Linked DNA regions of Macaca mulatta. The protein of the gene in region 2 purifies or fractionates together with the protein of the main gene of each other region. This does not show direct contact. Links are inferred from orthologs where the notes say so. Each region holds a gene or a part of one and is shown on either strand. Other genes may lie near its edges.

Region 1 (3,747 bases), on a different chromosome or scaffold from region 2:
GCCCAGCCCCAGCTAACTAAGTGGGTTACCTGACCACCTTCTAGTTCTTTCAGGGTATTTAAAGAAGTTGATTTGCATAAAAGTACTTGGGGAAGTACTTAGTTCACAAGAAGTACAGCCTCAAAAGCATTGCTGTGAGGACTCCACAGGGACAGACCAGGAAGTACTGTTTACAAAAAGTACCATTTTTGAGTCAGACCCGCCTGGGGTGCGATCGTATCCTGTCACTTTCCCCTTGGGTAATCTTATGCACTTGAGGTACCCCAGGGATCCTCCTTTTTCCTCCAAGTCTCACCTGCCAGAGGTCCAGGCCCAGCACACCAAAGTTATCATAGGCATAGATACTGGGATCAGGAGAGTACTCAGGATTGTCAATTTCTGGGTGGATCCAAGTGCCCTTGTAATCTGGGTTGTCGATCTGCCGGGGCTTCCACTCACCCTGCAGAAGGAAGAAGGGAACTAGAGGGTGAGTAAGGTTGGTGCACTCCCCACTGTGAGCCCCAGCCCTGCTCAGAGCCCCAAACTCACCTTGTACTCAGGGTTCTGAATCACTGGGGGTTCCCACTCTCCATCCATCTCTTCATCCCAGTCCTCGGGTTTCTTAGCATCGGGGTCAGGGATATGCTCGGGCTTGTCCCAGTCCTGGGGGGTAGATGAAGAGGTCAGAGTTGGCCCAAATGTCCTCACACCCTCCAATGTGGAGAGCAGAGCCCCCACCCAAACACCAACCTCAGGCTTGGAGTCTGTGGGATCATCGATCTTGGCCCGCTCATCCCAGTCTTCAGGTTTTGAAGCATCAGGATCCTTTATCTTCTTGGGTGGCAGGAAGTCCCAATCGTCTTCCAAGGAGCCCGACTCCACCTGGCTGTTGTCAATCTTCACCTCATAAGTGTTGTCTGGCCGCACAATCAGTGTGTACAGGTGTGTAAACTCATCATCCTGAAGAAGGAAGAAGGTGAGCAGCCCCCCCTCAATCAGGCTGACCTCTGAACCTCCCCATGACACCCATTTGCCACCACCCCCAGGCACACCTTGCAACGGATGTCCTTGTTGATCAGCACGTTTTTGCCCTTGTAGTTGAAGATGACGTGAACCTTCTTGGTGCCGGGGCCACAGATATCAGGACCTAGGTGTGAAGCAGATCCAGTTAAAAGTCAGAGACTACCCACCATTTCGAGTTCCTCACCCCTCTTTACAAAAGGAAGACCTGGTTCCTAAACTCGGGTCTGTCAAGGCTGAAAAGAGAAACTCAGACCCTGATTCTGTGCTGAATGGGTTGTGGGTGAAGCCTTAAGTTTAAATTAAAAAAAAAAAATCAGTGCTCTAGAACTCAACATCCTCATTTGTAAGATTGGGAAATAACTATATACAATGACACAAATTAATTAACAGCCTAGATCTGCGATCATAACGCAATAAATTGTTGCTGTGACTTAATTCTTTTAGCGCCCCTTCCAAAGACAATCATAACTATTAAGAAAGTCAATGGGGTCTGGGTCTCCCTCCAACTAATGGGACAGAGGTCAGCACCAGGAAGCAGCCCCTCACCAAACATGATGTTGTATTCTGAGTCTCCGTGCATGTCCGTCTGGTCCAAACTATTAGGAAACAGCTTCACATAACCGCCCCCACAGTCGATGTTCTGCTCATGTTTCACCGTGAACTGCACCACCAGCGTCTGGCCTTTGTTGCTGAAAGGCTCGAAACTGGCCGACAGAGCATAAAAGCGTGCATCCTGGCTTGTCTGCAAACCTGAGACGGGACGGTAGTGTGGTCACCGTTGGGTCCTGACCCGCGAGGACCCTCGATTTAGACGATACAGACGACTCCCCCACTTCCTCCACCTGCCCTGCTCCTAGGGGACTGTCCCGGCTGTGTGTGTGCGGACAAGGACTTCTGCCAGGAAGTCCTCGCGGATCTGAGCACCCACTCCTAAGCTCTTACCTTTATCTTTCTCCTCGTCACCGTAGAACTTGCCGGAACTGAGGACGAATTTGCCAAAATCTGACTTGTGTTTGGATTCGATCCAGCGGGAAGTCCACCCGTCTAAGTGGAGGGTTAGAGAGTTAGGTCAGCGCGGCTCTGCTAATCCCCCCCCCCACCAAGCATCTGCGGAGAACCACAAGCTGCTGGGGACAGGGAAGGAGATCCCCGACTCTCCCCACCCCAACCTCTAGTTGACACGTCGGGTGCCTTCAGCGATCCTCGGGCGAACCCTAACTCCCACCGCGGGAGGCCGCTACGCCTTCCGCGCTCCCCAGAGACGCAAAAGAGGGATCGCCCGCAGCTCCAGTCGCCGGGGACCACTGTGTTGGCCCTCTAAGCGGTAATTACGGGCGACGACGCAGATCCGGGATGGGGGGCCGGCCGCGTCGTCGGGACGGCCTCGAGGTGGGACCAGGCGTTACCTCCGTCCAGAAACTGCTCCTTGAAGTAGACGGCGGGCTCGGCGGCGGCCAAGCCGAGGAGGCCGAGCAGCAGCGGCACGGATAGCAGCATGGCGGGCCGAGGGGGCGGCGGCGCGCGGGCCCTTTAAGACGACCCTCCGGCGGCGGCTCTGCAGTACGGACGGACGCCGCCGCCCGCCTTGCATTTTTATACCCACCCGCCTCTCAAACCAACCTGACCCAGCCCTTGGGCCCGCCCCTGACACTTTATCATTGGCCTGCGCCCACGGCCGTCTCTTTCCATTGGACCTTCGTCGGTTCACTAGGTTAGGCTGCGCCTCGGAACGCTGGGTTCCCAGATGGCCGATTTCTATTGGCCTCACCACTGACCAATGATGGTCGACCACGCGTTGTGGGGGACGCCCACTGGTGAGGTGGGGGCCGCGAGCCCCTCAGGCCAGGTCATGTGACCAGACCTGAACCTAAGACCGCCCTTGCCCGTGCGCGTCGTTCCCCATCTGGGCGTTTAAAGAACCCGCGGGAGCGCAGGTGTTTCCACGCGGGATCGGGACCCCGCCTCAGCTTCTCTTCCTCCCGTTCCCTCTAGGTGGAGGGGCTGGGCAAGGCTTTCCTAGCCAGTTCTTATCTTGCATTTGGGAACCAGCACCCCACTGCTGCTCCCCTACCCCCGCCCAGGATAGGAGAGAGCTCATGGGTTGGGGCCCTGGGGCTACGCTGCACCCCGGTGCTACAGCCACGCGGGCCAGTGGGAAGAATGCCAGCCCTCTCCTCATTCTGCCCCTAGGGCCCTGGCAGCCTATCAGACTGCTGCTGTGTGACTGGGGCAAGTCACTTAACCTCTCTGAAGTGACAGACGTTCCTGAGCAGACAGAGGGGGTGACCCTGGCCAGGTGCTACCCAGCAGAAATGCTGTTAACGTTTTTAAAGCTGGCCTGGGACAAGAGGGGAGGAAGACTTAACGATGTGACTGTGACTCCTGGGGTGGGGATAGGGTTATTACCCAGATTGCAGCAGCCCCTTTACTCTCGTCTCAACCGGTAAATGAAGGAGGTCGCTGTCTGTGGTCTCCCACAAACGGCCTGGCTTTTGCAATTAAACGGCTATAGGCGAGAGGGCAGGGGGTTCCGTTTGGGGAGGGAAAAAAGACACAGATGGTAGCGAAGATAAGGTGCTAGGGAGATGGGCAGGACCCCCCCACCCCACCCCAGTCTGGAGTCTTCTGAAGCCAGAGGCACGTGACTGGCACCAGTACCCTGCCCCCAAGCTGTAGAAAGGAGATCTGGGGGTTTTCCAAACTCTGGGCAAATAAGCCCTGGACCTGGGAACACGGGAGTGGACT
Region 2 (3,747 bases):
CGCTCTCCACCTGATTCACAGAAGGGGTTCTAAGACCGTCAGGTCGGGGAGGTCCCAACCATCTTCTGTAAACCAGATCAGGAAGGCCTGGGGATTCCGGCTGCGCACAGACGAGGTGAAGGCCCGGGCTGCCCAAGTGACACACTTGTAGGCGGATTCGGAAACGCGTGCTCTCGAGCCGGAGGCGGAGCCCCCAGACTCAGACCGACCCCCCAGAACAAGGCGGCCTTGCCCGAGGCGTCAAGGCTTTCTAGGCCCGCTTCTAAAAGCTGTGTACAATGGAGACTCCTGGAATAGGCACATATCTCTACTGTAATCAGAACGAGATGTAACATCTAAGACGCAGGACAGGGCTCCGGCAAACACACGCTGGGGGAACGTGAAAGTAAGGGCCAAACTACGCAGCTGGTCCTCAGAGACCAAAGACTACGATTCCCAGCATTCAATGCAGTGTACCCCATAGGACATTGCATGTCGGGAGCTGTAGTTTCTCACCACCTCCATCTGGAAGGGTTCTAGGGGATTTTCAACCACTCTCGTGTGTTTCTCCTTTCCGAGAAGCGCCGCCACACGAGAACTCTGGCCGCGAAAGTCGTGCTGGAATCACTCCCAACGTAACCCCAGATATAGATGGGAAAGGGTGAAGAACACGTTGCCATGGCTACCGTTTCCACTGGTCACAGAATAAACGCTCTCTAGGATCCGGAAGTAGTTCCGCCGCGACCTCTCGAAAAAGATGGATGTGTTCTGTGCTTACATTCATTGGACGGTTGCCCTTAGAGGCCACAGCCGCCCAGGCAAAGGGGCGGTCCCACGTGTGAGGGGCCCGCGGAGCCATTTGATTGGAGAAAAGCTGCAAACCCTGACCAATCGGAAGGAGCCACGCTTCGGGCATCGGTCACCGCACCTGGACAGCTCCGATTGGTGGACTTCCGTCCCCCCCACGAATCCCCATTGGGTGCCGTGGGTGCGTGGTGCGGCGCGATTGGTGGGTTCATGTTTCCCGTCCCCCGCCCTCGAGAAGTGGGGGTGAAAAGCGGCCCGACCTGCTTGGGGTGTAGTGGGCGGACCGCGCGGCTGGAGGTGTGAGGATCCGAGCTTAGGGGTGGGGGTGGAGGCGGCTCCTGCGATCGAGAGGGACTTGAGACTCACCGGCCGCACGCCATGAGGGCCCTGTGGGTGCTGGGCCTCTGCTGCGTCCTGCTGACCTTCGGTGAGTGATCCTAGAGGAGCAGACGTCCCCCCTCTACACACGCGGCCGCTTCTCGAAGGTTCTGGGGGCGTTGAACCTGGGAGGGGGGATCCCGAGGCCTGCGGTGGGCCAAGGGACGTCACCTTTCCTCGAAAGAGGGCCAGGGGATTACGTTTATTCTCTTCTTCCTCTGGAAATAATAAAAGAGAGCAGAATCATCTAACTCCCCTACAGATCTAATAATATCTCGCCCGGAGGTCTCAGCGACCTCGGGGTGGGGCCTCTCTGGGGCTCTGGCTCCCCCGGGAGTTGTGAGGAGTCCCTCCCCCCTCCCCGCCCGGAGGACTTTTTCGGCCACCGCTACCTTCGGCCATCCCAGCTTTCCCGTCCGGTAATTCCCCAGACTCCGACTCCTCGCAAGCGCGTGTCCTTTCTTAAGAAGATGCTGGCTTGGGAGCGTGAGGCCTGGGGCCAGCGGAATGGCAGTGTCAGCGTGTTTGATTCGGTTTTGCTGGAGCTCGGTTCTTAACATTTCGCCCCCTTCTCATGCCTCTGGGCTCAATTTCAGTTCCTCTCGCCAGAGATTGCATAAATCCTATTTGCATTCTGACCTGTGATAACGAAGGCCGAAGTTTTGGTTTGGTCAGTTGGGAGGCCTTGGCTCGGCCTGCGCGCAACACGTGTGGTTGTAGAAGAGACCTGGTGTCAGTCTGCTTAACGTTATTTATAAATGATCGGAGACACACTGTTTAGAAGTGGTGACTACCTCAGTATTTCAGAATCTACTGGGGACCTCAACATCAGAACTTAAATAGATGTGCTGTCTTGGCTTTACCTTGGGTATTTAAACCAGGGAATACACTCTTTCATCCCCTCCACCCTTATTTACCAGCTGAATTTTGCAACCCCTACCCTTCCCTATTTGATCATCCTCCTTGGAGAAGTGCGATGTTGAAGAGTTTTCCCGTGTTAAATCTTCAGGGTCGGTCAGAGCTGACGACGAAGTTGATGTGGATGGTACAGTAGAAGAGGATCTGGGTAAAAGTAGAGAAGGCTCAAGGACGGATGATGAAGTAGTACAGAGGTTTGTGTTCATTTGAACTTACCTATACAGATAAGCCCTGTGAACCTTGTGAGTTAGGGTCACTTCTTATGTATCTCTTCTCCAAAGGTCCAGATAAAGTCTAACACCCTGTATTTAAATACCTGGTGAGTTGTGTGCATACATACCTCCTAACTTGTCCCTGGGAGTGATTAAAACTGAGTGAATTCCTTTGAAAACTATATTGCAGAATACTAGCACCACGAACTTTGTAAGACTTTAGAAAAGAGTTTCAGTTGGATTTGTATTCATTAACTGTGTACGCCGAGTAGTTTAAAAATGGGATTTCTGTCAGTTGAACAATATTTTAAAATTTGGCCTCTTGGGATTTATTGACAGTTTTGAAGTCCTCACCGTGGAGCATAAATGAGTATGACTTTGCTTTTTAGTAGAGGAGACTTGGGGGTTTTTTTTCTGGCAATTTTAAGAACCAGGTATTTCCAGTGCAATGTTAAAGGTAGCCTACTGCTGTGCTAACATAATGAGATGGTATATCAGTAATACTTTATAAGGGTTTCCATTTTAACCCCCAAGACAATATTTAGAGGCCACTGTGCTCGCATCATAATTCCTCTAGTTTTGAAGGGAACTAAGCCATGCAATATTTGCTTATCTAACTGATTTCCTTAGAGAGGAAGAAGCTATTCAGTTGGATGGATTAAATGCATCGCAAATAAGAGAACTTAGAGAGAAGTCGGAAAAGTTTGCCTTTCAAGCTGAAGTTAACAGAATGATGAAACTTATCATCAATTCATTGTATAAAAATAAAGAGGTAAGCAACATGTGGTTAGAATATTTTGTCTCTATATGGTGGCATACTTGTTTACTTAAATTTGCTTGATTTACTGCAAAAGTAATGTACTAACCGAGTAAGTAGCTAACAACCTTTAAATACTTAATATGTCCAAGAATTGTTACTAGATATCTGGGAAGAAAGGGAGCATCAGACATTTTCTTTTTCCTTTACCTCTAAATAGGTTCATGGCCTGATAATAGTTGTGATTCTAAGGGCAGTCTCGTAAATTAAACTTCTTGCATTGTATACCTCAAGATCACTGTCAGATGGGTAGTGTTACTACCCTTACCAGCTAATGTATCCCTTATAGTTGCCACAGTTCTTTGTGTAAGGAGCTATGCCTTTTTTTAATCAAAAGAATAAAGCCACTCCTATACCATAAGAAGTCTTAATTCCTTAAAGAGTGCTTTTATAAGGTACAGAGAAGAAATAAAATGGGTTTGGCATAAAATGAATATCTTAATGTATCTTGAGGATAGTCTTAAGTGTATTACCTCTGGCTTCCATTTAGATTTTCCTGAGAGAACTGATTTCAAATGCTTCCGACGCTTTAGATAAGATACGGCTAATATCACTGACTGATGAAAATGCTCTTTCTGGAAATGAGGAACTAACAGTTAAAATTAAGGTAAGTGTAAGGCAGTTTTTCTTTCTTTT

What was found. Proteins that work in one complex are often made in the same cells at the same time.
Region 1: the proteins of HSP90B1 (region 2) and CALR fractionate together in Homo sapiens (co-fractionation; 4 studies listed by BioGRID, with this or other methods). This does not show direct contact. The link is inferred for Macaca mulatta from reciprocal best matches to the Homo sapiens genes HSP90B1 and CALR.

Annotation. Positions count from the first base shown.
Region 1 is NC_133424.1:13,503,626-13,507,372, reverse strand, and holds the start of CALR (calreticulin precursor), read right to left. Parts: upstream 2,531-3,747; 5' UTR 2,500-2,530; coding exon 2,409-2,499; intron 2,047-2,408; coding exon 1,945-2,046; intron 1,753-1,944; coding exon 1,549-1,752; intron 1,127-1,548; coding exon 1,032-1,126; intron 940-1,031; coding exon 730-939; intron 643-729; coding exon 529-642; intron 440-528; coding exon 296-439; exon of another isoform or gene 263-295; intron 1-262. UniProt on the Homo sapiens protein: Calcium-binding chaperone that promotes folding, oligomeric assembly and quality control in the endoplasmic reticulum (ER) via the calreticulin/calnexin cycle.
Region 2 is NC_133416.1:111,149,142-111,152,888, forward strand, and holds the start of HSP90B1 (endoplasmin precursor), read left to right. Parts: upstream 1-1,164; coding exon 1,165-1,213; coding exon of another isoform or gene 1,214-1,382; intron 1,383-1,556; coding exon of another isoform or gene 1,557-1,566; exon of another isoform or gene 1,567-1,803; intron 1,804-2,173; coding exon 2,174-2,276; intron 2,277-2,924; coding exon 2,925-3,066; intron 3,067-3,601; coding exon 3,602-3,718; intron 3,719-3,747. Other genes in the region: uncharacterized protein LOC144333002, read right to left, coding at 760-1,382, 1,557-1,566.